4 linked regions of the Alligator mississippiensis genome follow. The protein of the gene in region 1 interacts with the protein of each later gene in a pairwise test. Links are inferred from orthologs where the notes say so. Each region holds a gene or a part of one and is shown in the gene's direction. Other genes may lie near its edges.

Region 1 (7,304 bases):
TACATACCATGGTATTGCTTATTCATAGCCCTGGAGTTTAAGGCCAAAGGAGAACATCAGGTCATCAGGTGACCCAATGCCAGGACATTTCACCATGATAAAGGCATCTCTTCCATGAAGGTCCCAGCCGTGATCTGAAAAATATAGAAAACATTGCTTCCTGTAGCAGTTTGTTCCACCAGTTTATCACCCTTGATTACTGCTACTGATCTCAACTTTTATTTTCTGTTTGAATTTGCAAGAATTCTGCTTTCAGCCAGATGTTCTGTTCTGCCTTTCTCTGCTAGATTTAAGAGGCTGTTAAGTAGTTTCTCCCAGCAAGGACACCTCCATGCTATAATGAAGTCTCCCCTCAATCATTTTGATAAGCTAAACAGACCAGGCTCTGATGGTCTCTCACTGTACAACAATTCATCTGGTGTGTGATTCTTTTCTGCACCTTCTCTCATGTCTCAACATCTTTTTAGAATGGATGTTGTGTCCCATGATTAGGCTCCCCAGCACCATGTCTAGAGATGACATTCCCACCCTGATCAGCTCACCAACAGCCAAGGGTGCATTCACTTTTTTTTAAAGAATAGGGGGATCTTCAAAGACATGAAGGAGGTACATGTAAAAAGAGATGAAAGATGTCCCCTTCCACAGTGTGGAAGTTTGTCCTTTCTTTTTAAAGTCCTCATGCTACCACTAGAAAGCAGCTACTTCTGGGGTGGATTGTGGTTAGCAAGCAAACCTGTTCCATGATAGGGAAAGGAGGAGTTTTGAGCAGTAACTTCAGGGCAGTGCCTCATGTGTCTGCTCGTTGCTGTGGCCACTGGGAGCCCACCAAAATACACTGGCACCCACACAGGGCTTGTGGTTTTAAACCCAGCAAACGTTTCTCCTGTGGCTGCCCTGTACCAAGGAGCAGTGACTGTATTTCTGGCTATTAACCTAGGCAAGGCTTTAGGCATCTGGAAAGTAATGGAGTGGGTGGAGGATTTCCCCCTTTCTCTCTGAGCTTTTCAGGTGTTTGAAGCTTGTTTTCTCACTGGGAAATCATATAATCCAGGGTCCCACACACAGCTCAGCCAAGGGGAAATGGAGGCAGATGAAGAGGGAAGACTACAAACACATGCAGTCCTATGAGAGATCCCTGGTAGGGCTCTGTTGCAGTTTCCCCCTTTCCTTCCACCAAGAAGCCTCAGGAGCTGGGTAAGACCTGCCAGCAGTGCTGAGAGTTGTGGGGGCAGCAATGCTGGTGAGCCAGTGGGGAGTGCTGAGAGTACAGATGGAGCAGCTGGGGCAGGTGGCTGTGTTGCAAGAGGGATGGCCTCTGCTGTTTTCATAGCCCTCACGGGAAGAAGGGACAGAGTTTTCCTGAACTCAGTTGTGGGGGAAGGATGCTAGGCACTTCTGTGCCCCAGAAACCGTGCAGGAGGGGCTCACTGCACTGTGCACAGGGCAGGAGTGGGGAGCCCTGTTAAGGGTGAGTGACAGGACAGCCAAAAGTACCCCAGAAACTCCTCTGCCCAGGGAACAGGAAGGCAGTACAGCAGAGCGGAAGATCTGATTGCATCCCCAGCCAGGGCAATGGGGCAAGTGCTGTGTGCAATCTGGAGTGGAGAAACTCGGTAGTTGGGAGGGGCACTGTGAGGCCATGGCTGGGTTCAGGCTCTAGGGCTGGATGGGGGCAAGAAAGAACAAGGGGGGGGGGCTGAGAAATACACCCTATTCCATATTCTGTTATTAACAGATCACCCCCAGACCCACCCCCAGGTAGTTACAAGTGACCCCTCCCACCCCACATCACACCAACTGCTTGGACTCCACCAAATCCTAGTATCATGCAATCTACATGGAGTAGCCCTTGCAGGAAAATCACAGAGTAAGCAATTGCCTTCCTTAAAACTCTGCTAGATACACAGGAGGATGATTCCTGTCACAGCCAGCCAGAAAGCTGCCCTCCCCTCACCAGGGCCAGGCCCCAGGAAGGTTTGTGTGGCACCAGAGCATGGGTGCCAAATCTCTCTGCATTCCCAGTGCAACCCTTAGTAAAGGGTTACAGGACAGCAACCCCAGCCCAGCCCCTCCTGCAGTTTCCTCCACTTCTGCTTTCCCACAGCCCTTGCAGTTTGTGCAGCATCAGCATGACCGGTGCTTCCAGTGTTTGGTGCTGGGGCAGGGGTTGAGTGGCTTTGAAAACAAAAAGTGTTTTCAGTTCAAGTTTGTTTTGAAGGAAATTGCATAGGTGAAAACACTAGAACCAAGGGGAGGAGGGGAAACTTCCTGCACCTGCTGTCCAAGGCCAGGCCCACACGAGCAGGGGTATGCCTTTACAGCAGTACAAATAGTAGTGGCACAAATGTGTGTCTCTACTTTGTGCCCCAGTGCACACCCTGGCCCATGTGTCTTGTTGCTTCACATGCTGCAGGAGGAGAGCCAGCCTGGGGCTCCTTGATCCTCTGTCTTGAGGCACCCTATACCCCAGCCAACTAGGGAGCAGCTTGCTGATGCCTCAGCATGGGGTCTCCACAATGCACACAGCTGCCTTCACTGGACACCCCTGCACCCCCCCCTCCCCCCTTCACCCCCAGTCTCTGCGTTTGTCCTGGTGCTTGCCACTTTGGCACGGTTTGCGCTACTTTTTTTTAGGGTGGGGATTTGCTGCTGGGAAATCCTGGGAACAAATTTTGCCCTGCACTGCAAATTAGCAGCGCAGAGCACTGATTAATGTGCAAGTCATGTAATTTGTGGCACTGCAAAGAGGTTTGCAGCACCACAAACCACATGTGCCTGCACCTCTGGATCCAGCCCAAGAGCTCAACACCCAACATGTTCAGCACTTCAGAAAATATGGGACTTTAAAATGAGGCATGGGAGGTACCAACTGTTAAGACAGGGCACTGTACCAGAAAGTGATGGGAGCACTGCACGGACCATTGGCAAGTAACTCTGCACCAGGTCATTTGGCTTGGCTCTATTAAATAAGTCTCCTGGGCTCTGTCTCTGCAAGAGACCCTGTTTGAGCTCTTACCTTTAGCTGTAAAATGGGTGGATAGCAACCCCCCAAGAAGGCAGGAGGAGACCATGTGAATACTAAAAGCTGGGTAGGCCATAGGAATAGGAGCAGGGCAACATCTGCAGTACAGCTTGTGACCTCTGGAGTCAAGGCTTAGTGTGGTTAGGCACAGACCGAGGGGAGTGAGGACGACACATTTTGTTACCCTCAGATCAGATGAAACTGGGAGTTTTTGGCTCTTGCCACAAGGGGCCGAAAACATGTTACATGCAGTGAATTCACAGGAGCCAGCAACACTGGAGAGCCTGTTTCATGGGGCCTAATGTCACCCATATGCTGTGTAGGTGCCTTGATGCAGTCAACAGCTCAGCCTGCAGATGCTGTAGCATCCCTTCCTTCCTTCCATCCGTCCATCCATCGTACTTTGTAGGAAACAGTGCCAGTCTAACGCAGTCAGCAAGAGAAGTAGGGCAGCCACAGAAGCAAGAATACACCCACTCCCAAGCCGTTTGTGGTGCATGAGGTCTATCATTTCTTAGCAGCTCCTTATTGATAAGCACATGGGCCATCCACCCTCAAGTAGGGCATCAACCCCCAAGGCAACCAGATGCCTCTTCATGCAGGGACTCAGGTGGGCACTCAGGGCCAATGTCACATTAGCAGCTGAGCGCAGGGGCGGGTGGCTTGGGCCACACTTGTCGCGTCTGCGGGCCCCTGCGAGCCGGATCTGTGCTGGGGGCTCGGCTAAGGATGACCCTGCCAGAGCAGGGGCTGGACTGGATCCCCTCGGGGGTCCCTCCCAGCCCGGCTCTCCGTCCTGCTCGCTCCCTCAGCACCAAGAGACCCAACGCAAGCTCCTGCCGGGCCGTGGAGGGGGGGAAGGGACCGCGTGTCATGTGACTCCGCCATCACCTGACCAGGGGTTCCCGGGAAGGACAGGGCAGGTTTTCGCCGCCGAATTCTCCGCCCCACTTTGGAGCAGCGACCAACGGGGGCGAGGCAGGCCGGGCTCGTGGGCCAATCCGGGGGAGCGGCCGGGGCTGGCATCTGGCAGTGTCTTTGGCTCTTGTGGTGCTGGGTCGGGAGCTGGTGTTTGGTTCGGCCGCCGCCGCCGCAGGTACCACGCGGGGCGAGGCGGGTGGGTGGGTGGTGCCGGGCCGGGCCGGGCCAGGCCAGGCCAAGCCGCACGAGGTGGTTGGTGCCAGGCTGGTGCGGGGTGTCGGCACTTCCTCGCTGCGCGGGGGTCCACCTGGCAGGGGACATACCCTGGCCGCCACCTGGGTTTCCTCCTGGCTGGGGGCGGCCACGAACGTGGCAGGGGGTAGCACCCACCCTGGCCGAGGTCATGCTTACTTAGCCTCCCACTTTCACTTCCAGCGGAGAGACCTCGGCCTTACGGAAAGGGGAGACTCCTCCCTGGCCCTCAGGCCGAGGGCAAGCCAGGCTCGGGGGCATCCGAACCCCAGGCTTTTGGGCTCGGGCTTGCACGTAGGATGCCCGCCAAAGGATTTGGAAACATCCGAAGCCCCAGGCGGGGGCAGAGGAGACTTGCGGGGAATAGGGCCACATGCGGTTCTTGAATGACTGGCAGATTTGGAATGGATTTGGCCGATTTTGAGTTGGGACACGAACACATTTCCTTTAAAAACGAAAAAAAAATCAATCGGTCGGGTGTCAGGGCTGGGGGCGCCTCTTCTGCCCCCCCACCCTGCCCTTGCCCACCTTCTCAGGTTGCACAGGCTGAGGGCAGAGAGCCTGTCCTGAGGAGTGCAGCTCTCCCCTGCCAGCTGGGAGAGGGGCACAGCTCTGGGTGGAGTCGCTGTGATAGGGGGTGGGCAGGGCAGGGCAGGGCAAGGGGGCTCACACCCTGCCCTCCTCTCCCAGGTTTGTGGGGTTGGCCCCCTGGAAGGACCCTTCTTTCTCCTTTCCTTCCCAGGCCTCCCACCTCACCAGGAGTTCTCCCTTCTCAAGGGGCCTCCCCTGTGCTCTGCATCTCACCTCCTTGCTTCTCAGGCTGCTTTCCCCCAGCAGCCTGGTTGGCTGCTCAGCCTGCCCTGTGCTGGGCAGAGCAGGGTGGGGACCCTGCAGCAGCCTGAGTTCCCCTTGTTGCTGTGAGTGGGTGGAGTTGAGTGCAGCTGGCACCAGAGATGAGAGATGGGTACTGCAAAGTGTTGATTTCAGGTGTCTGACATTGTTCTGTGCTGATAGTGATGGGTCTGTTGCCATATGCCCAGCTAGGCCCGTACTTCACTCTGCTTCTGCTTCGGTTAATACGTGAGGTAGAAACTGGTCTTGTCATGAACACATGGGACTGTGCACGACAGGGAGAACATGGCTGCCCCTCTCTGTTCTTTCTTTCTTTGCCTGCATAAAGTGCGTGTGCTCGCCGCATGGGTTGAGGACCTGGCTCTTCCCTGCCCATTACCAAGGAAGTGATTCATTCCCATGTCTGTGAAGTATCCCATGATGATGTGCGTGAGTGAACAAAGAGCTGGGTTCATATGATTAAACTTTAGTGGTGCTGCTTGGGTGAATGAGTTAGCCTGGCATTGCTCCTTCTTTCCTTAGGCAGATGTTGGTTGTTGCAGCCAAGCACACTAAATCGGACCCTTCCCAGAAGCAGAATCCTGGTGTAGTATGGGGTGGCTGTGACCAAGTAATGCTGTTCAGGGGGAAATATCCTTGTGCTAGACCCTTCCATGGGGAACCGCGTCCCTTCAGTGTTTGAGGCTGTCTTCAATGCCAAAGCAGGTGACTTTTCAGCAAGATGTCAGTATACGTAGGCTCGTTTGGTTCTTGTGGAAACTGGGCTTGGGCAGTTTTTCTTTTAGTGCAGTGTAGCTAGGAGAGGCCCATGCTATATTTCCTGTCCCAAGTGTTCCTGGATGTGGCGTTTCCTTGGTTTGCCTCACTCAAAGCTACTCAAAGAGTTTTGCCTGCCCTAAGATCTGACACTGATCATCTCACTGAGAACGCACCTCTTATTGGTAGTGAAGGCAGAAGCAAATAAGCCCTCTCTCCTCACTGGTGCTGGGGTCGGTACCTCAGTCTTAGAGAGGCATGGAAGGATGGTTTTAGCCTAGTGCTGAAACAAGCCTGGCAGGTTGTGCAGGTTACTAATTTCTGGGAGCGAATTCCCCTCAGTAGCGAGTATCTGAGTCTGGAGCTTCTGTAATTTTGCCTTGACCTGGGCATGAAAACAGCAGCCGCCTCTGTATTTATGGCTGGAATAGTAAACAGTCCTGCTTCAGGTAACTGGGTGCATGCACTGGGTTTATGGGATCAGCCAACCAGCATATGTTTGTTCTGACCAGACTCTACAAATTTAAGGAATTCTTTGCCTGGAGCAGGTCTCCCCAGAGCCTTGACTGTATGTATCTCTTGGGCACTGCTGTCTGAGAGCCTCCCCTTGCTGTCTGGCATAACAACCTGTTGGATGAGAAGGAAATTAAGAGCTTGGAGGTGCAGTGAAACAGGGCCGGCTTTGTTTCCCACCCCCCTTTTGCTTCTTGATTCTTGTCTACCCTGTGGAAACAAGTATTATAGAGATACTGGTGCAACATGGTTGCTGGCCCCAATGCAGCTGAAATACAACCTTATGATTGTGAGCTATGTAGGATTGTAGCAATGGTCTAACCACCTCCTCAGCCCTATACTAGAAGATGAAACACTGTCAGCCACAGCAGGGGTTACATATGTACTGTAGCCGGCATCTCTGAGAAGGAGGCTTTTCCACCCTTAATGGGCCCTGACTGGCTTGGGCATGCTTCTTTATATTGGGCTTGTCCTCGGGGAAAACTAGCCTGCAATAGCTGTTGCAGAGTAAATAGGGGGTGTAAAGAGCACTAGTTCCTTATTGTTGCATAAGAACATCCACAGATGGAGTTAGTGCATTATTGCCCTCTGGGCTGTTTCCTTGGGTAGATAAGCCGTTGGTCTCTGACCTTAGTCTGTTCAGTTTTATTTCCCCAGTTAGCTTGAGTTTCATTTCCCACTTGGCTTTCAGAAATGGTTATTAGAAACTGGTCATATGAATCAAGTGAGAAGTGCTGGGGTTTGCAGGTCCTCTTACCCTGCCCCACTGCATGCACTGTTGCACCCACCCACACGCACACTGTTCTTGTGCACCTGGGATACAGACACGGTTCCAGGTCTCACGCATGTTGTTTGCCATAAAAGCTGGTGACTTGACACTTGTCCAAAGTTGCATGCCACTCTAGCATGTGACTTGTGAGAGTGATGATAAGTCACTTCTCAATAGTGAGAGGCTGGTTGGGGTCAGAGGGGTTCTCACAGGGCTTTG
Region 2 (7,664 bases), on another chromosome or scaffold:
AAAAGTAAGCATGTCAGGCAAGTCTTTGCAGGAGCAGGGCCTACATCTATTATAATGTAATTTGTACAATAGTAATAATTTTACCTTAAATATAGTAAATTGAGATTTAACTGTTGTGGTGAACAATCAGAAATGATCTGTTTCTACAATACCTGTCTTATGACTTAAGATTTGATTTTTGGTGTAATTTAAAACCATACAGGCAACCTTTTTTCTAAATTATTTTATGTCTTGGGTGATGTATAGGACAGTGTACACATTTAGTACATCATATACTGTATCTGTTTTTTTCTTCTAGTGAGTCATATTAATAAAATATGTATGTATTATATTAGACATTGCAATAGTAGAAGGTCTTTCTGTAAAATACAAAATACTTGCACTTTGTATTTGTAAATGTGTATTTTCCAAGGTCTGTACTGAACACTGTTTAGCAGAATATGCAAGTAAAACTCTCACGTGCTGCTTTATAAAGTCAGCCAAAAGTGACTGACAGAGTAAGTTTCCTTGTTGAGTAAGGAAAAATTAAAGAAGTATGAAGATAGTCTTATGGCAGAATCTGTTTTCAGTGGGCTGGATTTTCTTCTCCCTACAAATGCATAAAACAGGAGTACATTTCTGTTCATATTTCAGGCAATATATTAATGTTTTATGAAGATTGTAAGTGACATTTAAAAAGATGACCTCAGAAAACTTTCTTTAGTACATGGTGTGTACATTATGTGTATACTTCAGTTTGCTTAACTTTTATCAGGATTAGGATTTTTATTTTCTCTAAAGGCACTGCAAGCACATAAGTGTAATTGGAGAAAGCAAAACTAAAATATTCACTCTTAAGACCTTGTTTCATTTCCTCAGAACATGATTCCTCATCACAAGGGGTAATCCTAGCTCTGGGATCATGAATTGTAACAACTGCATATTTATGGCCAGTGAGCATTAGGAGTGAAAATCTAATTTGTGGTTGACATTCTATCTGATGTATTTCAATGGACTAGCTTAGAAAATATGAAGGGAAATGGTAATATGTAGGTTTTGGACAACAACCTGATATGAATGATGAATTCTAGGAGAAAAATCTTGCCTATCAAACTTTGTTCAGTTTTTAAGAGCTGTCTACCCTTATGGGCATAATTTAAATTACCTGCTTTTACATTATACTATGATTACTCCTACTGATTTGAGAGGGTGCATTCCTGGCACTACTTTGAAGTGGATGATTATACAAGAGTAAAATATACATAGTATTATCTTGCATTCCCCTTTTCAGTTGCAGAGTCCTAATCCCAGGGTAAATTTTGATGCGAGTCTTTGTGACTCCTATAAATCTAAAACAGTCTAAAATGACATAATTGACATCTGTCTCCATCTCCTCAGTATGTAAATTACTCTAAATTGGACTCAGCCGCGTCCACATGAGCCCAGACATTTGTTTCTCTGGGGACAAGCAGCAGAACACCTTGTGCCCATGCCATGTGCTCTCTGACGTGTGGCAGGTTACCTGGGGTTCTGGGGGCTTTTGGGGAGCCGCAGCTGCAGTGCTCCTGGGAGACTGGCTGGCAGCTGGAGCATGGCTCTGGCAAGCTAGGTTCCAATTTTGGGTGGCATGCACTTCTGCCACATGCACCACCCCAGTTTTTTAAGGTGTGGGTTTTTTGACCCAAAGCAGCACCGCAGGGATTGCCTGCATGTGTGGTGTGTGGCACCAGAGATGGGTCTGCGGTGCCACACACTGCATGTCTGTGCTCATCTGGATGCTGCTCTTGAGGCCTTTTTCCGCTAGGAAAAGGTTGTGTAACTCACATTAGCTAACATATGGTAACTAACAACATTTTCTCTAGTGAAGATGTAACTTTGCAGTTCATCTACATGGGGAAATTCAGAAAAACTTCATCCAAATTATTAAAGATATGTGGGGAGGGGGGGCTTAAAGTGGCTTTATTTGGCTTAGTTTAACAATGTTGTAAACAACCATCTTTTTAACATTAATTAGTAGTTGCCAATGTTGCTTTCATATATAGCACAGATTGCTTTGTTGAGTATCTTTGTTTAGAAATTTATTTAGAAGCATTTTATTTTACTTCATTCTCAAATAAAGCTGCAGAATTTTAGTCATCAGATTATCTGCACTTGCCAACTTTCAAGTGATACTTGGATGGATGATAGTTAGAAGATAGTGAGAACAAGCATTACTAACCAGTAGGTAAAAGCATCTGGATCCTTAATAAAAATAGGTTTATTATTTTATTCAGGAGAATTAGTTTTAGATTTATGCTTTGGAACCTTGGCAATCTATTTCTTGATGTTAGTGAAATGTGCCACAAATGACTGAAAAATGAACTACAGAAACTGTACACTGTGTATAATAAACACCTTTTTCAGACCACAGTAAAATAATGAAATGAAGTAAAACAACCTCCATAACAGCCCATTCTTCCATGGGTGCAAATGCTGCCAAAGTAGTTAAATAGATGTGAATTTAATGTAAAAGACCTATCTGAATGCTGGGTGCCATGTTGACAATTCACACCCTTGCTAAACAGAAGTGCTTTGAAAAAAGACAGTAGTCATTTGCCTGTGGAGTTTTAAGATCTAGAACTTTATCTAGATCTAGTATAAGATCTAGTATTTTATGTAAAAAATTCTCAATAGATGGTGTTCTATAACATTTTTCAGGGCTAAGAGGTATCATTTTGCGTAGCCTTGCTATTATTTGGAAATGCAGTATGCAGGTCCCTTAGTTGGTCCACATGGGAAATCAACACCAGCATTTCTTGCCACTGAAAGGATGGAATAATATTTTTGTATATTTGCTTCAAGCCTCCTGTTTGGAGAAAACCCTTATTGAGTCCAGTAAGGGTGTGTGCAGCTGAGCTTCTAATAATGATGCTGGGTGGTCAAATATTGACAAGCAGCAACTCATGCCCTTATTTTCATCTCAGCTGAAGTGTTCCTAGGCTGAGTGGAAAATTATACAGGTTTCCCTTGCTTTATGCTGTACATGCGTTCCTGGAAAACAGTGCACAACTTGAATTCGCACAGAGGGAACCCGCTGCACAGTGTAACAAATAGGGACATCTTCCAAGACCTCAACTGTACTGACCCCCACCAGACCCACGTCTACCACTTTTACAAGACAATTTCGGTACTCCCCAACAGCAGACAGTTCCCACAAGCACCTGGTGGTGGTGGTGAACGTTACCATCATGGGGATGGCAACTACAGAAACACGTGTCGCAGACAATGAGTGAGGAGCACAGATCCACACAGGAGACTGTATATTTGGTGCACGCCACTCCCACAACGCACCGCACAAAGCAGCTGATTGCATAAGAGTGAATTTACCTCGCATATCACAAATTTTTGGTGTAAAAAGGGTCATCGCATAAGAGCGAATGCGCACATACAGAACCCACATAAAGCAAGGGAAGCCTGTACTAGGTAAAGCCGAAGTGTGAATTCAAAGCAATAACGGTGTGCTGGTGTATCTTCCCATGTGGTCTCTTATGTCAACTGGTATGAACAAAGTGGTGTTTCCTGGAACAGGTTTCCCTCACTTTATGCGGGTTCTGTATGAGAGAATTCGCTCTTTTGCAATGACCCTGTTTATAACAAAAATTCGTGATACGCGAGGTAAATTCACTCGTATGCGGTGTGATGGAGGCCCGCAGTCAGCTGCTTTGTGTGGTGCGTTGTGGGAGTGTTGTGCACCAAAATACAGTCTCCTGTGTGGATCCATCTGTGCTCCTCGCCCGTTGTCTGCAACGCATTTCTGTAGTCGCCATCCCCGTGATGGTAATGTTCACCACCATCCTGTGCTTGTGTGAACTGTCCGCTGTTGGGGAGTACCGAAATTGTCTTGTAAAAGTGGCAGATGTGGGTCTGGGGGTCAGGACAGTCGAGGTCTTGCAACCTATCCCTATTTATTATGTTGCAAAGTGAGTTCCTTCTAGGCAAATTCAAGTTATGCGCCATTTTTCAGGAACGTGTTTACAGTATGAAGTGAGGGAAACCTGTATAATTTTCTGCTCGGCCTAGGAACGCTTGAGCTGGGATGAAAATAAGGGTGCGAGTTGCTGCTTGTCAATATGTGGCCACCCAGCATATTTACTAGAAGCTCAGCCGCCCGTGTCCCTATTCGCTACACGGCAAGGCGGGTTCCCTCTGTGGCAGACAAGCTTCTTTGGGTGAATCCGACGTCTTTTATCTGTTCCCTCGGTGCAAATTCAAGTTGTGCGCCGTTTTCCAGGAATGCATGTACAGCATAAAGTGAAGGAAATCCGTCTAGAAATACTAGTATACTGTGCTGCCAAAGCAGATAGTATCCATAGCATTAAAAAAAAAAAAAAGCCTCTGTGGAAAGGGAGATGCACTGCCCGGACCAGGTCTCCTCCTCTCTCTCTCAGCTTCATATCCTTGACTAACCAACTCCAGCTGCAACACGGGTGCAGCTCGCTTGGCCTTAACACAAGCAGGGACCCTCCGAAGAAGTCAACGCTGCCCAGGGGGGAGAGGGGCTCCCGCGCCCGGGAAGGCGGGCAATGAGCAGCAAACCCCCCCCTCGCGGCAGAGGAAGGTGCTGTGCGCATGCGCGGGGCGGGGCCGCTCCTGGCTGGGCCGCGCAGACACACGTGCTGCAGGCGCCGCCCGCGCTCCCTCCCGGCTCCGGTCCCAGCCCCAGCCATGGCGGCCGTGGCCGAGGCGGGCTCCCCCGAGCGCTTCCAGGAGCTGCTGCAGCAGAAGGGCGGGTACGTGAGGCCGGGGGCTGAGGCCCGGGAGGGGACACCGCGGGGCCGGCCCGCTTCAGCCCCACCCCGACCCCCCGCTCACCGGCTGAGGGGAGGCCCGAGCGCGGGCGGGACCGGGGCCCAGTGCTCTGCTCTGCTCCCCCGGCGGGTGGCGGGTGGTGGTGCGGGGTGTGGGGCGCTCAGCGCCTCTGTGGCGACGCAAAGGCGACGCCTGTCGGTGCCACCCGCCCCCAGTGCCGGGTTTGGCCTCCTGAGGCCTGCAGTTTATGAGCAGCGGGGCTCGAGGGCCCTGCCGCGGGGAAAGGGACGAGGTAGCTTCATGTGGGAGCTGGAAGGGCCGGTTTTGTTCCCGGCTCCACTCTGGGGCAGGTCCCTTCCTCACGCTTCACACCCAGCCTGCTCCGCCACACCTGCCTTTCCTTGCATGTGCAGTCAAACCAACCCCTGGAGAAACTTGATGGCTGAGGGAAGTGGAAATCCTTTCCAAACCCACTTTACGCTGATTGTTTTGCTTGGTTTCTTTGTTTTTCTGACTTTTTTTTTTAATTTGAGGTTTCGCTGCCATGTGTGCGGCTGCAGCGCTTGGGAGGGGATGCTCTTGTTTTAAAAAAACAGGTTAAAAAAAAATAATGGAAGCATTTGCATCTTTTTTACAGACAGGTGTTTTTTAAGCCCAGGTATGTAAACTTGGGGTCCAACAGAGGTTCGTGGTGTTGCTTTCGTTTTTGAGGAGTTGTCGGGGATTTCTGGGAGGGGGAAGTAAAAGTGCTGCTGGTTTGTGCATGTGGACACAGCATGATTGATATGGAGTGACGTACCCTGGATTTTATTCTCTAGGAAGCTCCCTCTGTAATAAGGAGCAAAGACATGATCAGCTCGTCTGGGCTGACTTCCTGCAGTAATTGGGCATATGACTGGTACCCAGTTGCACCTTGTTTTCTGAAGGAGACTTTTACGTCAGAGTGCAGTGACTTAAATTCGGCAAGGCTGTGCATGGTGTTCCCACTCCACTTTTCCTAAGGAGCGAAGCTGATTTATTCCATAGTAAATGAATTGTGCCTTTACCCAGTATTTATATTAGTGAACCCTTAAAGTTAATGCCAAAATGAAGCTGTATCCATTCATATAGTCAGTGTGCCTAGTACGGTTGTATTCATGAACCAGAGACTCAAACAAGTTTCACCTCCTCTTCCTAAACTCTGAGAAATTTGCTGGATGTTTTTAAAATGGATACTTTCCATTCAAACAAGATTGTGTGTCTGTCTCTGTGTAATACTGTTGGGGGGGGGGTTGGAGGGATGGGGGGTTGTGTTTTTTAAAACAACTCTTATTTATTAAGTATTGTAGAATGGGCCACATCTTCCTTCAGTTTGTTTCTGGGACATAGACAGTAGGAGAAATTTTACAAATTAAGTTCGATACACCTCATCATAAGAGATGTTTCCCTGACCCAGAGAAGGGGAGAAGGTTTAAATCAGCACCTCTGTACAAGTTTGCGGTCCAAGCAGTGTAGCATTCAATTGTCAGTTGAGAAACTAAATGTGAAAAGAACTAAAGAAACAGGTGCTGAACAAAGGTAACTAATCTTCTTACTAATCATAACCAAAGAGGTCTTTAAAACGTATTTAATCTTTTAATGATTGGAAGTGCTAAGCCTTGATTTTGCACTGAGATCCTTTGATGCGGTCCAACATAATCATATGTACAGTGAAACCCAAGCAAGCATTGGAAAGTTAGGCCTTGCCCATGGGCGGAGGAGGGAACTTTTTGTATATTTCTAACTTCAGCTTGTGAAAAATCCCAGTAGACTAATCAGGTACTTAAAGTTAAGTTTGTGCTCATGTGCTTTGCTGAAAAATAGAAGTAGTTTAAAGTTAATTGTGATTCATTGAATCAGAGCTCTAGTTATAGGGGGCCAATAAGGCAATAATAAATAACTACTAGCATGTTATAGGTGATTTTTCTGAGGTGCCTTAAGAGTAGAGGCTGTTTCATGAACCTTTCTTGGTGAACCAAATAATTAAATACCTACTCACTTGGTAACTTTTTTGGCAACATATAGCCAATGGGATAGTTTTTAAAATTAGAAGTTTAAATGGATGACTGAAATTGTTCACCTCATTCCCAAATCATACACATCAAAGTATTGGCCATTGGTAATATTTCTCTCGTGGGAGGTGCAGGTTGTGTGTGTGTCTTTAAATCTTTTAGATTTTTGAGAGCACAGGACTTGCACACTTTTCTTACTGAAACTTCTTCCTTCTGCTGACTTTTTCTGTGGGGCTGCGCATACCTTTATCATTATCTGATCTTCAAAAGGAGACTGGATGCACACCTTGCTGGGGTTATTTGACCACAGAAGTCTTTTCTGTCCAGAGCATTGGGGCTGGACCCAATGATCTCATCAGGTCCCTTCCAGCCCTAAACTTCTGTGAATCATATTTGTAAGATTAGCAGAATTGATTTTACTGGTTTTCTTACCTTTAAGGCGTTAGTGTCACTTGTTTTGTTATCCAGGTTGCCTAAATTAATTTTAGATAACATACATTAAAAAGTATGTAGCTTCTTCATTGCATAAATAATTCCTATCTCTTAAATAAATCTTTTTAACGGAGGAGTTAACATAAAAAAATCCAGAACCTCTTTAACTCTCAGAAAAAAAAGAAAGTGGGCTAAGTCTTAATTATACTGTTGATTATATGGGGTTTTGGACCGTTTGATTTTTCCTAATATCTTTGTTTCAGAAAAGTCTGGGAATTAAGTAGTCTAATGGAGTGGATTGGGTGGTAAACTTATTGTGTGTGTGTGCACGTGCGTACAGTAGTAATAGTAACTCATGGAATGGAATATAAACTTAATATTTTTAAAATTTTTCCAAATGATATTTTGGTTTCAGAGTTGCAGAAACTTAGCAGT
Region 3 (8,086 bases), on another chromosome or scaffold:
ATCATTACAGATACAAAGTCTCATGTACCATCATCAAGATACAGTAGTAGTAGGTGCTTCATAAATGTTTATGACAGATTAATAAATAAGTGTCTCACTTGTCACTCATTTCTCGAAAGTCTCATTCAGATGAAGGAACACAGCAGTAATGGAAAAGCAGCTGACACATTTGTGATGTTTAGGACCTCGGTGGGAAGCCTAAACTGTTACAGGCTGCATCTACATATGCACTTTACTGCAGAGTAGACTAATTAGCTGTGGAGTAAAGTGTCACCATCTGTATACATCATGGTATTAGGCCTCAATAAACTAATTAACACCACTACAAGATAGTACTATCTCATGCCAGGGTAATTTACTGTGATTAAACACATGTGTAGATGCTGACCACAGGTATGAATTGTGCCCAGTCACCCCAGCCAGCCCAGGGCCAGACTCCTGCCCACTACCTAGCCACATGGCTCTGAACTTTTAGCACCCTTGGGCCCTGGCCAGCCCCTCTGACACTACCACCTGGGGCTGACCTCACGTGCCCCCTGCCAGCCTGGGCCTGCTCCACCCCAGGTCAGATTGCTGCTGTCCTGGGCACACATGTAGATGCTATGGCTCAAATTGTTCCAGAATGTATTGCTTTGCATTAATTGCATGTGTAAATGCACCCACAGTGGAAGATCCCTTATTATTACTTGTTATTCACAGAGTCAGATTCCTTGTTTTACAGAACATAATATTTATTATTAAACTATAAGTTAATTGTGGGCTTATACTCTCTATGCAAATTACAGTAGTTTTTCTGCCATGTTTTATAATTGATAAAGTTTGTCATGAGATGTCAGGGCTCCATATTTAGTGACATCTTTGATCACACTTCTGATGGATTTTTAGACATAACATGACATTACATGAGCTGATTAGTTCAGTTGTAGCCCTAGAGTCAGTATCTTAAAGCTCATGAAGTTAGAGTGCCTCTTATTTCTAGTGACTTCTACTACTCATGTCATTAGACCAAGAGATCCCTGATACCTGTCATTTCTCTTTACTTCTGTATATACAACAACTGATATAAATGCCTCGTTACAGATTGTTATGCAATGCATAAATGGTTATTTTGGTATTGCTAATAATTGCTTGATACTAAGTATTAAAGATAGGAAATAGATCCACTATTGTTACAAGTTATGATTGCAATTATGGCTTTATGGTCAGTTTCTCAAACAGTCCAAAACTCCCCTACAAAAGCTACTGATGTTATTTACAAACCACCTTTTTATCAAGAAAAGGAAAAGGTTGGATGAAAGGTTGGATGTGAACTTTGTGCCTATGGGGTACAGGAAGGATTTTTCATGCAGTAGGGCAGTATTTGTGCCTGAATAAAACATAGGGCTCCAGGAGTCCTGGGTGGAGGAGGGGCAGCCCTGCAGTCAATACCAGCTGGCTCTTAACCCCTGTCCCTTTGACTGGCTGCTTCCTAGACAAGGCTTTCAAAGGAGCTCTTGAAAACCCCTCCCCCGCATTCAGCACACTTCTTTTAACCCGGCCATAATTTGTCCCATTGCATATTAATGCAGCATATGGATTCGCATAACATTGTGTCATGCAGGTTAAGGATGAAGTCATAAAAGCCCTTTTATTAACAAGAACAATTATAACATTCTGTTGCAACATGCTGACAAATGGAGTGGTGTTTATTAATTGTGGATGCATTATTCACATACTCATTATATATGTACCCTCAATGTAAAGGGCTGCTTGGCAGCGAGATTTCTTTGGGAGCAGAAAAGCCTCCCAAAGGAACTCCAATGCCTGTGACACCCAAAAGACCAGGTAAGGCATTAGGAAATATTCTCAAGGAACAATACTGCCTTCAGCAAGAGAACAGAACTGGGTGACCAGCTAACTCTCTCCTACATCCTATATCCCTGGGGATATGTAGCAAAATTCTAGGAGGGTACATGAGAGGAAGCGGTGGGAAAGTAGAAAGGAAAGAGGAAAGCTTCTACATCACCTCTGACATTGTCAGAGAGGTTACGCAGTGCAGTGGTAGTGACAAAATGTGTTATGTGTAACATGTAGCCATGGGGGTGTGTATCCACATGGCACACCTTGAAAGGGGTAGGTGATCCAGATGGGTCTGAGAACTGTGGATCCAAATCAACAGACTACAAAAGTGGGCTTTAGACAGACTACAAAAGTGGGCAGATGAGAATAGGATGGGGTTCAACATAGACAAATGCAGGGTGCTGCACCTTGGGAGAAGGAATCCACAGCATACATACAGGCTGGGGAGTTCCCTTCTTGAAAGCACAGAGGAGAAAAGGGATCTTGGAGTCATTATTGACTGCAAGATGAACATGAGCCGCCAATGCCAGACCGCAGCCAGCAAGGCCAGCCAGACCTTGCATCCAAAGGTGCATCTCAAGCCGGTCCAGAGAGGTGATACCCGCCCCTCTATGCGATTTTGGTCAGGCCGAATTTGGAGTACTGCGTCCAGTACTGGGCACTGCACTTCAAAAGGGATGTGGCCAGCCTGGAGAGGGTTCAGAGGAGGGCCACCCACTTGGTGAGAGGGCAGCAGGACAGGCCCTAAGAGGAGAGACTGAGGGACCTAAACCTGTTCAGCCTCAGCAAGAGGAGGCTGAGGGGAGACCTAGTGGCTGCCTACAAGCTTATCAGGGGAGATCAACAGCAAATAGGTAGAGCCCTTTTCTCCCCAGCACCACCTGGGGTGACGAGGAACAATGGTAATAAGCTGATGGAGAATAAGTTTAGCTTAGATATCAGAAGGCAATATTTTACAGTGAGGGTGGCCAAAATCTGGAACCAACTTCCCAGGGAAGTGGTCCTCGCCCCTACCTTGGGCAAATTCAAAAGGAGGTTGGATGATCACCCGTCTGGGGTCTTGTGAACCCAGCATTCCTTGCTGCCTGTGGCAGGGGTCAGGCTAGATGATCTGTTCAGGTCCCTCCTGACCCTAGCTACTATGACACTTATTAAACTATGAAACTCCCCAACAGGGATGGACTAGAACCCAGGCCCTGAGCCTGGCCAGCTGTAGATGTGGGGAAGATCTGGATCAGTGGTTCTCAACCTTTTCACACTGGAGGCACACTTAAGAAAATGCTGGCTCCTGGCTTTGGTTCATTTTTTGACTCTGGAAAAGTATCAGTGCTGTTGTTCTGTTGCAAACAACTCAGAAAGCCCCCAGCAGGGCAGGATGCTTTTAACCCTACAGGTTCCTATTCAAAATCTCCCCTTTATCTGGTGACTCCTGTTTGCCCCAGTGCTAAGGCTGTGTAGCACCCTGGGTATCATTTTGGAACCAAGATTTTTGTTTTTTTGTATATCTTCTTGTCCAAGACCAACACAGCTACCAAGTACACCCCTGAAACATGGAAGATGCCGAATTTTAGCTGGTTTTGGATTTTAAATTTCATTGCAGAACAAGAAAGATTTTTTTACCCCCCCTGCCTGCCATCTGACACTTCCAGGGAAGGAATTCAACCTGATCTACACATCAAAGAGCCACTCAGCACAGCCCACAAAGGCACTCTCTTGGACCCAGAGGGACAGCCTTCCATTTTCAGCTCCCTCTGTGCAAGAATGAAGTTTATTTCTTACTTATGGGGACTTTTTACCACCTTGTACCATCTATACTTTTCCCAGAGCCTGCTGAAGCGACTTTGATCCCGAAAGCTTGCAGAAAAGGACGATTTTCTTGCTATTTCCCAGCTGGTTTAATAAAAGGTATCATTTTGGAGCCAAGAGTTCTCGTTTTTTCAAGTAGCACCCTGGGGGCACACTTGATAGGCTCTCAAGGCACCTCAGGGTCCCATGCTCCCCACTCCTCACACTGAGAATCGCTGGTCTGCACCTGTCCAGTCAGGCCCTTCCAGGCAGCCAGGCAAAGGGCTGGATGGGCAGGGAAGAGGAGCCCCAGCTCTAACCCCCCCAGTCTCATCCTTGGCTTCCACAAGTCAGAGTTTCTGGTGGGAATCCGTGAATGGGGGCCCCAGGTGGGGCAGGCAAGAGGGGTGGCCAGGTGCCTGGCCTGCCCCCTTGCTTCCCTCTGTGCCTGGGTGGGGAGCACTTGTGTGCGTGCGTGCGTGTGCGTGGAGGGGGAGTATGTATCTGGGGAGGGTCCAAGTAGGAGGTGTGTGTGTGTGTTGGGGGAGCGTGTATCTGGGGAGGAGTGTGTGTAGATGTGTGGGAGGTGTGGAGGGTGTGGGGGTGTGTGGAGAGGGAGCGTGTTTGGGGGAGTGGGGGGCAGGTGTGGGGGTTGCATGTGGAGAGGGAGCATGTGTGCAGAGGGGAATGTGTGTGTGTGTGTGAGAGAGAGATGAGGGACAGTGTGTGTGGAGGTCTGTGTGTAGGGGGCTGTGGGGAGTGTGTGTGGGGGTTGTATGTGGAGGGGGAGTGTGTGTGTGTGTGTGTGTGTGTGTGAAGGGGAGCGTGTGAGTGGGGGGGTGCGTGTGGGGGGTGGGGAGCTATGTGGGGGTTGCATGTGGAGGGATAGTGTGCATGTGGGGGGTGGAGGGCTGTGTGTGTGTGTGTGTGTGTGTGTGAGCGAGGGGAGGGGTGCGGGGGGAGGCAGGGGCGGGCCGGAGCCAGCCGCGCTGCCTGGCCGCGCTCCAGCCCGGCGCACTAATACAGGCTCGCAGGCTCCAGCCTGACTGACGCCGGCCGGGGCTGCTGCTGCCGCAGCCGCTCTGGCCCCTGCCGCCGCCGGGTTCCTGCAGCCGCTCGCAGGCGCTGTGGGGGGCTCGGGGCCGCGGCGCGGCGCGGGGCGCGGCGGGGCAGGCGGGACCAGGCAGGTAAGAGCCGCGGACCCGCTCCCGGCGTGGCGGGACCGCCTCCACCCTCCAGCCGGCGGGCAGGTGGCGGGGCAGCATCCCCGTGCGGGGGGCAGTGGAGGCATTCCCGCGCCGCGGCCGCACGGAGGGGGGGGGGGGGTGGTGGTCCGGGCCAGGCCAGGCTGTGCTCGGGGGCGCGGCCCGCCCCAAGCCCCGTCCCTCCCGTCCCCTCCCTCCCTCGCTCCCTCCTTCCCGGGCGCGGGTCCCGGCCGCTCCCGCACGCGGCTGCAGGGGGAGGAGGGCGGCGGCGGCGCACGGAGGAGACACAGCGACGCCAGGGTGCGGGGGAAGGAGGCGCGGGGGGACGCCGGGGCTGCGCGGACACGGCTGCTCCGGGACCCGCGCCCGCCCCTGCGGCCGCCACGGGGCAGATCGGGCGGCAGGTCAGTGACACCGGCGGGGGAGCAGGGTGCCCGGAGCGCTAGTCCCGGAGAGGGAGAAAGCTCTGGGAGATCCTCCTCCTCCCCCGTTCTTGGTGCTGCTGCTTGGTGATTGCTACTTTAGTTGTTAAACTAGTAATTGTTACGGTGATGATCGCTGTAGTTGTCATTGTTCTTGTTCGATTGATAGTTCTTTGGTTCAGGGCCGGGCCAACCATGAGGCGACCTAGGTGGTCGCCAAAATTGAGGGGGGGGGGCGCCAAAATTATATGCAGAACAAACTAACAGGAACACCATTCTAAGTGACAGCCCTGGCCAGCTCCGGCTCCACCTTGCTCTAAGACCTTTGGTTGGGGAAGGGGGGAAAGACCTCGGAACCGATCTCGGAAAAGATCACTAGTATCGCGACTCCTACCTTTCCAACTTTTGAGCGGACTTATGACAAGAGCATACCGCTGGCAACGTTATCCTAATTTTCCTCTGTACTGGAAGTGGTGGAGGTGCCAAGGTACCCAGTCTGCCTAGGGCGCCAATTACCTTTGGATGGCTCTGGTTTTGTTATTCCTATTATTTTTGTTATCCTCATCATCAGAATTATTGTATCACCATTGTCATCATCATTATAATTATCGTTGTCCTCATTTCATTATCACCAACCACCATCATCATTATCATGATTATTTCATTATCATCATCATGATCATCACCATCATTATGATTTCATTATCATCACGGATGATGTCATCATCATTATCATAATAATTTCATCATCATTATTATCACTATCATTACCTTTATGGTCACCATTGTGATTATTACCATTATTTTATCATCATCATCATTATTATCGTCATCCTCATTATTGTTGTTATTATTGTTACTATCATTTAGGAGCATCTGAAAAGGGACTTTACAAATGTAGCACCGTACAAATGAATTAATGGGTGCAGTGTTAGTTTATCTTTTTCCCTCTAAATGTCTCCCATTTGCTACTAATCAATCATGCTTGCTTTAAAGAATTCTCATTCATGTGAGCTGAAAAAAAAGGAGAAAACTTCCATAATTAAATGTTTATAGTAAATAGAGGTGATGGAAGAAAAGAAATCATTCTCCACCAAAGATAGCTTCTTAATGAATGAGTTTTGCCCTAATCCCGTTGCAATAGGAAATGATGTGCGAGTTCTTGGAATGTATTCAAGTCTGTGGCTGTCCAGGAAGGATGCTGCAGATAAGACCAAATTCAGTGCTTTATAACTGAAATACATGTAAAAACATGCTTATAAAGAAAGCATCTTTTGCGTTAGGAATACATTATCTTCCCATCTCCTATAGGATAAACTAAATGAATTACTGTAAAATTCTCCTCTGAGCAATAAATCCCCAGAGCAATGGCTGGAACAACTGTCATCACTCAAAGAAACTTCATTCTTTTTAATCTACCCAGACAACTCCCTTCTTTCAGATTTGATAGGTACCAGCATTTGGCTGGCTCATGTCTGTTTCGTATTCATTGTTAAGGAGGGAAATATTTTTTTTAATCCCAGTTCTTTTAACATTTCATTTATTACTCCACTTAAAATAAGCAGCTAGCTCTTGATGTTTTACTAGTGAAATTTATCAAGAGGTGTGTATAACCATTACTCAGTTCTAAAATGGTTTCAGATTCCCGACTGTCTGGTTGTACTGGGAGCTGGAGATGTAAACATTTTCTTCTTTGCTTTGTTATTGGCATTGGTAAAATCTCCAGACAAGCTGTAGTTTTGCATGAATGACTATAGTATGAATCTGTGAAGCAAGGGTATTTTATTAATAATGATTATGGTAATGGGGGTGTTAAAGTTTTAAGATAGCCCTAGAGCTTGGCATAGACACTTTTGTTTGTACATAAACTAAAATAAGTAGGTACATAAACGCTTAACAGACACTCATCTTCATAGGACCCCTGCAAAGTATTAAGTATTGTTTGATACACAAACTTGTCCAAACCCAAATGACAAGTACATGTATGCCCAAAATACACATTTACATTTAAAGGAATCAAATATCCCCAAAGCCTTTATATTCCTTCTGTTGAGCTCAGTAGTAGTTTTATTTTAATAGAAGCACACTTGGGCCTGAAACCCTGAAATCCCAGGAGATGAAGTCAGATAGTTAATTCCCCCTTTTCTCCTTTTCTTTGCAAGTTTTTTTGCATCTCATGTTTGAATTCTTAAGTGTCTGCTGTTATCAGTTAGGGAGATAGCATGTCCCACAGTTTTCTCTGTGGAATACTTAAGTGGTGTAATTTTGATGGTTAATCTATCCGATCTTGATAAAGTTTTATTTTTCCATTGTTTAATTGAAAGAATGTCAGCTGTTAATTACAAGTGACCACTAACCAGAGGACCAAGGCAGTAATTCCAGAATCAGTTGTGCTGTGGCTTCTAATCTAAATTAAGTTAACAGAATAAAGGAAGCCAAAAAGAGAAGAAAAAGTGCTTTGGGTAGTTTACTAATTGCAAATAATACAAAGTTATATTTACTAATGAGAATCTGTATAGTATAATTTGATACTTGGAAATAAACAGAGAAGGGGAAGAAAACAGTATAAATATTTGATCTAAAAAGAATACAGCAAATAATTTTTTTTTGCAAATATCTAGTTGGTCCAATAAAAGTTATCACCTTTGCCATGAGTTTTGATTCCATGAGTGTTTGTTATTCTTAACTGTGTGATTTCCTGCTGCTGGTTGGTATTTGTGTATGTTAACAGCAAAAAATAATAATTACATTAAGGGCATTAAGAAAGCACTTTTTAAAGACTGTCTCTGAGAGCACTTGCCATAAGAAAAATTTAGGACTGGTGTTGACTATAAT
Region 4 (8,295 bases), on another chromosome or scaffold:
AATTAGTTGCAATCAACTTGGGCAGTATCTAGTGCTGTGTCGTTACCTGCAGCTTCCCAATTACCAAGGGTCAAATTTTGGCAATCTGATTCTGTGGGCAGCTTTGTTGACAGGAGTAGGGGTTTTCATACAATTATGTGTTTCTCTATGGGAGTAAATGTGGCATCATCTAATCTTGAATGGTTGGAACATTAAAGGCAAGAGAAATGCAGTGAAGCACATGCAACAGTTATGAAGATATAATTCTGCATACCTCACATTAACTATGGCGTACTCATGCAAACAGTTGTACCCTTTTGGGTCCAGAATGAGGTAACTGAAACTATTAGAAGCTATCAGCATCTTATTTATTTTACCTGTTTTCTATTCCCTTAAAATGATTCAGCAGAAAAAAAGTTTTATATATTTCACTGACCATCAAAATATTTCTGCCTATTAAAACAAAACAAAAAACCCCAAAACAGACTGTTTAAATGGAGTCCTGCAAAAGCTGTCAATCACTGACACAGAATTAATCAATTCCTCTTCAAAGGCTCTGGCTTTTTACACATATGGCAGCACTACTCTCTTTTTGGATCATTCTTTATGCTACAACATCCTTTGATGTTTTTCTTGCAGCTTTCACAACAGCTGTGGTACTCTACAAAAATGACCATCAAATCAAGAGTGCAACCATGTACATGCATGGGTGGGGGGGCACTGAAGTGGGGGGCACGGAAGAGGGGAGGCGGGGAGAATGACGACAAGGAAATCTTGGCCCATTCCTTGCAGATCTTGCAAGGTTCTACTGTACAGCAGGGCAGAGTTTGGAGATCCACAGCGGGGATTGGTAAACCTCATGTGGCATCAAGATATACTTGTTAGGGAGATTTCTTCCAAGCTGACATTTGCCAGGACTGTACATGGATACCCGAGACCAATGCCCCTTCAAAACCATCTTCTATCAGCCATCCGCCTGATGGATGATGATGAACAAGAACTGGCTTTCAGCTGGAGTAAGGACATAGCAGACACTACCACACAGAGTAACAGACAACACTTCAGTAGTGCTTTTTAGCCATCAAAGTCAAAAGCACACAAAGGTAGGTACCAGTAAATATCTTTATTTCCAATCTACAGAAATGGATGCTGTGAAAGTGTGGTTGGTAGCATTTTGGCCAACATCAGAACTAGACTTGGAACTGGAATTCAGCTCCATCTCCAGCGCTCATATCTCACCTAACGGAGCACACGTCTGATTGAGAAAAAGCACATCTAGAAATATCTAGTTTCTGGATATCATAGAAACTGTTCTCTATCACACTTCACAGTTCTAGTACATTTATTAACATTCTTTTTTCTGTTAGATGACACACGTATTGCCTTTCTAAATTTCCTCATTAATGCAAAAGCATTCATCTCACATAGTTGGTCAGACTGTTTTAGCATATGTAAACATTCGTCTTTTTGCCCAACAATATAGAAGTCTTGTTGCAAAAATATTTCCATCAGTGTCTCAACATGGACATACTATGAAGCTGAGTCCAATAAGTCCTTCCCATGCCCCATGCTGGCATTCCCATAATTCTCTCATGCTCTTGCACATAAAAGCAACATACTGTACCACTGGTTATGAAGAAAACAAACATTAAAAATAATTCCTAATGCTTTCATATCTGTTGATTTTTATAGTAAACTCAAATAGCACGATTCAGAATTCTAACATCGAACTCAGCTGGTAACACACACTAGCTATTAACGCAGTCTTTTCTTTTTTTGATGCAATAGGGATAACTTCAAAAGAAGTCACCAATTTTGAATACGCAGCTGAAAGATACGTCACAATTTTAAATGGGATCTAAAGTCTTTGTAGAACTGGGCCAAACATAAATAAGAATGGGGCAGAAGTAGAAGTACAAAAAGCTAGAACCCAAGCTGAAATATTTAAAAAAAAAGCAACAGAAGTAAAAAATACTACTACGTAGAAATACATCTTGCATGTGGCAAGTCTGAGAAAAGATGCTTATATCCTATACTTAGTATTTCACACTTCCCCTCCTCTTTTTGTTTTATTCAGCTGGTATGTCTTATCATTAGATAAGTCTAAGATTGTACAACTAGTTGTGTGCATGAGTAAATAAGAATGGAAGTATTCCCATCAATTTAAATGGGAACACACACACACCTTTGCAGCTATGCACCTAAGTGGACCAGGGCTCAACTAACTCTATGAGGGACAAATGTTTTAAGATATTTACATGTTGCTGGGGTGTTAGTTGTAGCTGTGTTGGTCTAAGGGCATCGGCAGGCAAGGTTCTTTGGGGAGATGTGAGATCTTTTATTAGACCAACTGAGTAGCTGGGACTACTCAGTTGGTCTAATAAAAGATATCACACTCAAAGCTAGATGTAGGGAGGCCTGGCTAGTTGAAACTACTCAGTTGGTCTAATAAAAGATATCATATCTACCAAAGAACCTTGCGTGCCTTAAGATACGTAGGTGCCAAAGTTCCACTGAAATCAAATGGACAATTAGATACCTAAGTATCTTTAAAAATATGGCCTCACATTATTTAAGGGAGGGATGTTGCCAATGGTTAGCTGGGAAATGGAAATAATGATGCTGAACTCTTTTGTAGCCCACTTTGAGGTCAACTGATGAAAAGCATTATGAGAGAGCCAGGCATATATTTGATGCTTAACATGAAAAATACATATCACTGAAGACCTTAATGCCAGAGAACAAGTAAAAAAAAATCAAAGTTCCCACTTACTAAACTGTTTAACCTCAAAACATTTTTGCTTTTCCCATATACAGAGCAAAACACAGAGAGCACACTTCTGAGATGCAGTGCGTGCACCACAAGAAACTTACAACGGGAACCTGCAAAGAGGTGCAATCCCAGATCTTGGTGAGGATGAGGAAGACAGCCCTCAGCTTGCTACCAGTGCCTTAAAAAGAGTGAGATAAATAAAGAATCAATACAAATGTCAGATGGTGTTTCCCTCAGGTTTATTTGGCAACCTGTATGCTTCTGAAAAAGTGCTAACAGCTGCTTTGAGTGTTACTGATAAGGAGGAGCAGAACAGATCAGATCTCTTCATGAGCTTCTACCTGAAAGGATCACTCCTAAGAGGCAAGCTTTGCCGGTGGGGATGGGTTAACCTCTCTACACAGAGCTCTCAGACATACTACTAACGTCATAAGCCAGGACTGTTAACAGCCTGTTGTAACAATAAGAACACCACTAAAATTTCAGGGTATGCTGGAATGTTTTTGCTGCCCTTCACTGACAGCAAGAAAATTTAGGATTTACCTCCTTAAACAGTTCAGCAGCAAAAGCAAGAAAAATTAGTTCTTAGTCTCACCCTCCTTCTCCTCCATGTGCTCCTGCCAAGCCAGGACTCCCTACATCTAGCTTTGGGAGGGTTTACGGCCTACTCTGCAAATACACTGACGCAAATACCCCCTTGCTGCGAGTCCACTGACTCTGGGATGTGTGTGACCAGTTTTTACACACGCCCTGACTGCAGTGAGACCGCTGCCAGCCATCAGATGACACCAGTTTGTTTCCAGGGTTAAAATAGAGATCCCACGCAGAGATGTTATCTTAGGCATTTGAAAAGTGCGTGCCAGAGTATTGTTCAGGAATAATGAAACTGAAAATATCTAAACCTGAATATTGTTGAGGACTATTCGGAGTATTGCCTGTGAATGAAAGTGAACCGGTACTGAAACATCACTTGTGTTTGCGTGCTCTTCGTCGATTACACCAAAGAAAATGAGGGTCAACCTGGCCGTTTCCCTCCCTTTCAACTTCTCTCGCACAGTTTTGTATTAGAGAGGGACCGAAGGGGATTCAATGTCACGCTGCCCATTCTTCGTCTCGGGGCTGATCTGCGTTCACCAAACCCACACCTGTATTTTGCCCTGTCGGTGCTTCTACTGCTAGGTAACGGTATCGTTTTGCTCCAGGCAAGTGGCGGTTGTTCACTAACGCACGATTCGTGGGGGCGACGGCGTACGTCTATTCAGATCCTCCTTGGCAGCTCGGCGACTGGTCTGAGGACGGGGGCAAGGCTGGTGTTCGGCTCCCGTCCCCCATTTAGAAATAATTCTCATTTTGGAGGGTCGCTCCCGGCCAGGAGTCGGTGGAACAATTTGCAAAAACGACGCGCTGGCGGACACTGCCGAGGAAAATCGCAGCTCGCCAAAAAGGCTTCGCCCGAAAATACAGCTCCACCGCTTGGCTCCAATCAGGCCAAAATGGTGCTTGTCCAGACATGAGGAGAGAGTCTTTGAGGCAATCTTTTCATTAGACCAGCTGTCCAGTCAGCTGTCAAATGCCAGATCCCTTCCCCTCCCCCAAGGACTCTGCCCTTCCCATCCTGTCTAAACCCGGGCCCGCCTCCCCCCGCCCCACCCCCTGCTCATCCCGGATTGGCTCCTGCCCTTGCCCCTCATGCCGGCCCCGGCGCTCATTGGGCCGCTCACGGGAACCTCGCCTTCAGCCACACTCTTTTTTTTTTTTTTTTTTTTTTCTTCACCCTGCCGTCATTGGCTCCCCATTGGGAGCGGCTCCTCCATTGGGTGGGAGGAAAGCGCGCTACGATTGGCCGGGCGGAGGCCGGGAGGCGGGCCCGCCCGAGGTGAGGGTTGTGTGAGGTGAGGGAATCTCGCGGGGTCTCGCCGAGCGCTGGGCGCGGGGAGGGCCGCGCTGATTGGACGGCGGGGTCACAGGAGGCGGGACGAGCCTCCGCGGCACCGGCCGGCGGCGCTGGGGCCGGCTCTGTGATTGGATGGGGGCGGCTCTCGCGGAGCCGGGCGGGCCGGGTCCCATTGGCTGCGGGCTGGGGGAGGGGGGCGGCCGGCTGCGCGCGACGGCCGCTGGCTGCTGGCGGTGCTGCGCTCCGCTCCGCGCGGCTCCGGCGGCAGGTGAGTGGCGGCGCCCTGTCAGCACCGGGCCCGGCCCCTCGGTCCCCCCCGCCCGGCTCTGGGGGGCCCGGAAAAGTTCCCAGGAGCAGCTCGTGGCCGCCCGGGGAGGGATGTAGGAGGCCCGCGGGCCGGGGGCATGTGGGCATGGCAGGGGTAGCCGCACCGGGGCTGTGGAGCGGTGCCCGGGGGGCTGCCGCGCACCCTCCTCGCGGGGGGCGCGGGGTCTGACCCTCCCCCGCCTCTCGACACGCCGCCACCGCCACAGGATGGAGTGCTAGTCGCCCGCCACGGCAGGAACCTCGGGGGGAAAGGGGGGGATCCCGCCCCACCCCGCCCGTCCCCGTCCCGTCCGCCGGTTCGGCTCCATGAAGACGTGAAGCCCGTTGAGCTCGATGCGCTTCGAGGCGGGCCGCCTAGGATGACGCCTGACTCGTGCTAAAGAGTAGCAAAACTTTGTGGGGGTTTCGGTCCTTTTTCCCCCCCCCCCCGCCCCCCCGGCCTGGCCCGATGACCGCTTGACCCAGTCGCGAATCCAACCCGAGGGCGGGTTTTTTTTGGGTTGTTGTTTTTTTTTTGTTTTTTTTTTGGGGTGGTTGTTTTTGTTTCGGTTTTTGGTTTTTTGAATGTCGCTCTGTGGCACGACGGCCAACGCAAAAATGATGGCGGCTTACAATGGCGGTACGTCTGCGGCAGCAGCGGGTCACCACCACCACCATCACCACCACCTTCCTCACCTCCCTCCTCCTCACCTCCATCACCACCACCACCCTCAGCATCACTTGCATCCTGGCTCTGCTGCCGCGGTACATCCCGTACAGCAGCACGCCTCTTCGGCGGCTGCCGCGGCGGCGGCTGCGGCGGCGGCTGCGGCGATGTTAAATCCAGGGCAACAGCAGCCATATTTCCCATCACCGGCACCGGGTCAGGCCCCTGGACCGGCTGCAGCGGCCCCAGCTCAGGTACAAGCTGCAGCAGCTGCTGCAGTTAAAGCGCACCATCATCAGCACTCACAACATCCACAGCAGCAACTGGATATCGAACCGGACCGACCTATCGGATACGGAGCCTTTGGTGTCGTCTGGTGAGTATGGAGAATCAGCTGAACTCGTTTTTTCCTGTCATTGTTTAACGAGTCGTCATTCATGCTTATTTTTGTCATTCGGGCCAGAAGACCAGAAAGCTGCTTACTTGCAGATTGCTTTTGATGATTCATATCTATTGTGGAAAGTTGGCTTCACTTGCGTGAGTGGACAGAATAGGGTTTATTGTGAAGCGGCAACCTCTCACGGATAGGCCGCACCGTAAACCGAGTTGAGTTTTGGATGATACCATTATTTTGAAGCAGATGCAACTTGTTTATACGCCTTGTATAAATATTGTACGACAAGAGGGGAATGGCATTTGGTTTACTTATAGATGAGCTGTGCACGCACTTAGGATAATGCTTAGTAGAGCGCACATTTAGACATAGGAAGTACATAGAAAACACATGAAAATTGGTGTCTTAGGTTAGTCAGCTGTCAACATCTTGGTCTTGGAGACTGCATTTGCCCTGCAGCAGCATATTACATATCACCCAGGACGGTGACACCTTAACTTTGCACATTTCTCATGAATGTAAATGGGTTTCACTGTCTTCCTGTATTTCTGCATGCTCTTTCTTCTTTCCCAACCCCTAGCCACTTAGGTCTGGGGCTCTTATCTGTCACACTTATCCTCTTCTTAAAATAATTTGTGACCAACCTAAAAGAGCTTTTTTAGTTAGTACTTTCCAGGATCATGAAGGAAACGGTCCCCTCCCCCCACCCCTTTTTTTTACAATACTTTGTTTTTGAGAACAGGAAATTTACCATAAGGCTTATGGTGCATTAGAAACGCCAAGTATGTATGGGTTTTGTTTTTTGAGACCAGGCATATTGCAGCACACTTCCTGTTCACAAATACGAAGTCAGAAGCATGAAACTAGTTTTACCCCACAAAACTTTTAACTATATTTATTCAGTATAGGTTTTAGTGGTATTTAAGAAATGTTGTCTTTGCTCCATCCCATCATTTCATTTTGCTGAAATAGACGTAGTCTGCTTTTTAAAGCTGTGATTCTCATGGTAGATCAGTACATGCTGCAGCTCTGAAGGGTTTTACAGTAGAAGCCTTCGAAGAGCAAGATTGCGCTTCCTTAAGACTGATAACTGCTAAAGTATCAGACAAATGTGTTTGTTGCAAAATATGGTTTTAATATAAAATACAAAATGTGTGGCTCAAACTGTGTAAGGGTTAAGGGAGTAGGTTAATGTTTCAGTTGAATTGCATCTTATTTTTACAGTCTCGTACCGTATATTAATTAAACGCTAATTGCTCAATGCCAGAAAAATGATTTACGTTTTGTGAAGGGTCTGCATTGCTGTACCTGGGTTAAAGTGCTCTTGCAACTATACAGCATAACCTAATTTTAAGCATGAGATAATCAAAATTAGAGAGCAGTCCTTCATACAGATATATAAAAAAAATATTTCTATCTTTCCTTTTATTTTTATCTTTGGCTATTGTGTGTGTTTTTCTTGCCTAGAGTTATTGCAGTCTCTGTTAATTTAGGCTGGTCGGTAAAATCAGATCCCATTATCTTTATCATCTGGTGCAAACATCTTGTTAAATACACATTTCCCTTGGTCTCTGTTTTCCCTTCTCTGTTTGAAAACAAAATTACACAAGAAGATCTGCTTGCATTATTTTTAATTATGTAAATATTTTATTTTGACACATGAAGATAGAGAGTCTAAATAGTAAGGTATATCAGCATTAACAAATGATCAAAAGAAAGGGGAAAAGATCCTCTTATAGAAATAGGGATAATATATAACTATACAGATGACAGACTGCAGGTAGAATGGGGGCCAAATCTTTCATTGATATTAAATGGGACCCTGATTCTGCAGTTGGATCCAGGCAGATGGAGGGGTCCCTCCTACCTACAATTGTAGGTTTGGGGCTATGGCATTCATTTTAAAGAAAAGCTGAAGTTTTCAATTCAGCAGTGGTTAAGATCACCGTGGGAGCACAGAGATCAAGGCTGACCCTGGTATAGCAATTTCTATATTCCTGTAGACTGGAAAAATACATACATATTTGCAAAACCTAATATCAAGTCCTTAGTTTGTTCAGTGGCTTCTGTTAGGCTTGTGGCATTGGATGATGTTAACTCTTCCAAGTAAAATGCATCCTGGATTTAAGAGTGATTATTCTTGGGCCTAAGTTTGTTTTACACAGGAGAAAATCTGTTTGGTGCAAATGGAACCCGATGTCTCTAAATCCAAAATTACTTGAGGTTTTAGCTGTATAATGAATCTTTTCTCTTACAAACTGCCTATCCATATCTCATCGTGA

Evidence for each region.
Region 2: the proteins of GRN (region 1) and GLRX3 interact in binary tests that used the Homo sapiens proteins (3 or more experiments, as listed by UniProt). The link is inferred for Alligator mississippiensis from reciprocal best matches to the Homo sapiens genes GRN and GLRX3.
Region 3: the proteins of GRN (region 1) and SMAD9 interact in binary tests that used the Homo sapiens proteins (3 or more experiments, as listed by UniProt). The link is inferred for Alligator mississippiensis from reciprocal best matches to the Homo sapiens genes GRN and SMAD9.
Region 4: the proteins of GRN (region 1) and NLK interact in binary tests that used the Homo sapiens proteins (3 or more experiments, as listed by UniProt). The two-hybrid records come from large-scale screens. The link is inferred for Alligator mississippiensis from reciprocal best matches to the Homo sapiens genes GRN and NLK.

What each region holds. Positions count from the first base shown.
Region 1 is NC_081827.1:160,435,439-160,442,742, forward strand, and holds the start of GRN (progranulin), read left to right. Parts: upstream 1-3,924; 5' UTR 3,925-4,118; intron 4,119-7,304. UniProt on the Homo sapiens protein: Secreted protein that acts as a key regulator of lysosomal function and as a growth factor involved in inflammation, wound healing and cell proliferation. Regulates protein trafficking to lysosomes, and also the activity of lysosomal enzymes.
Region 2 is NC_081829.1:77,670,997-77,678,660, reverse strand, and holds the start of GLRX3 (glutaredoxin-3), read left to right. Parts: upstream 1-4,639; 5' UTR 4,640-4,683; coding exon 4,684-4,748; intron 4,749-7,664. UniProt on the Homo sapiens protein: Together with BOLA2, acts as a cytosolic iron-sulfur (Fe-S) cluster assembly factor that facilitates [2Fe-2S] cluster insertion into a subset of cytosolic proteins.
Region 3 is NC_081824.1:420,513,104-420,521,189, forward strand, and holds the start of SMAD9 (mothers against decapentaplegic homolog 9), read left to right. Parts: upstream 1-4,686; 5' UTR 4,687-4,811; intron 4,812-5,128; exon of another isoform or gene 5,129-5,233; intron 5,234-8,086. UniProt on the Homo sapiens protein: Transcriptional modulator activated by BMP (bone morphogenetic proteins) type 1 receptor kinase. SMAD9 is a receptor-regulated SMAD (R-SMAD).
Region 4 is NC_081837.1:7,254,683-7,262,977, forward strand, and holds the start of NLK (serine/threonine-protein kinase NLK), read left to right. Parts: upstream 1-4,851; 5' UTR 4,852-5,537; coding exon 5,538-5,995; intron 5,996-8,295. UniProt on the Homo sapiens protein: Serine/threonine-protein kinase that regulates a number of transcription factors with key roles in cell fate determination. Positive effector of the non-canonical Wnt signaling pathway, acting downstream of WNT5A, MAP3K7/TAK1 and HIPK2.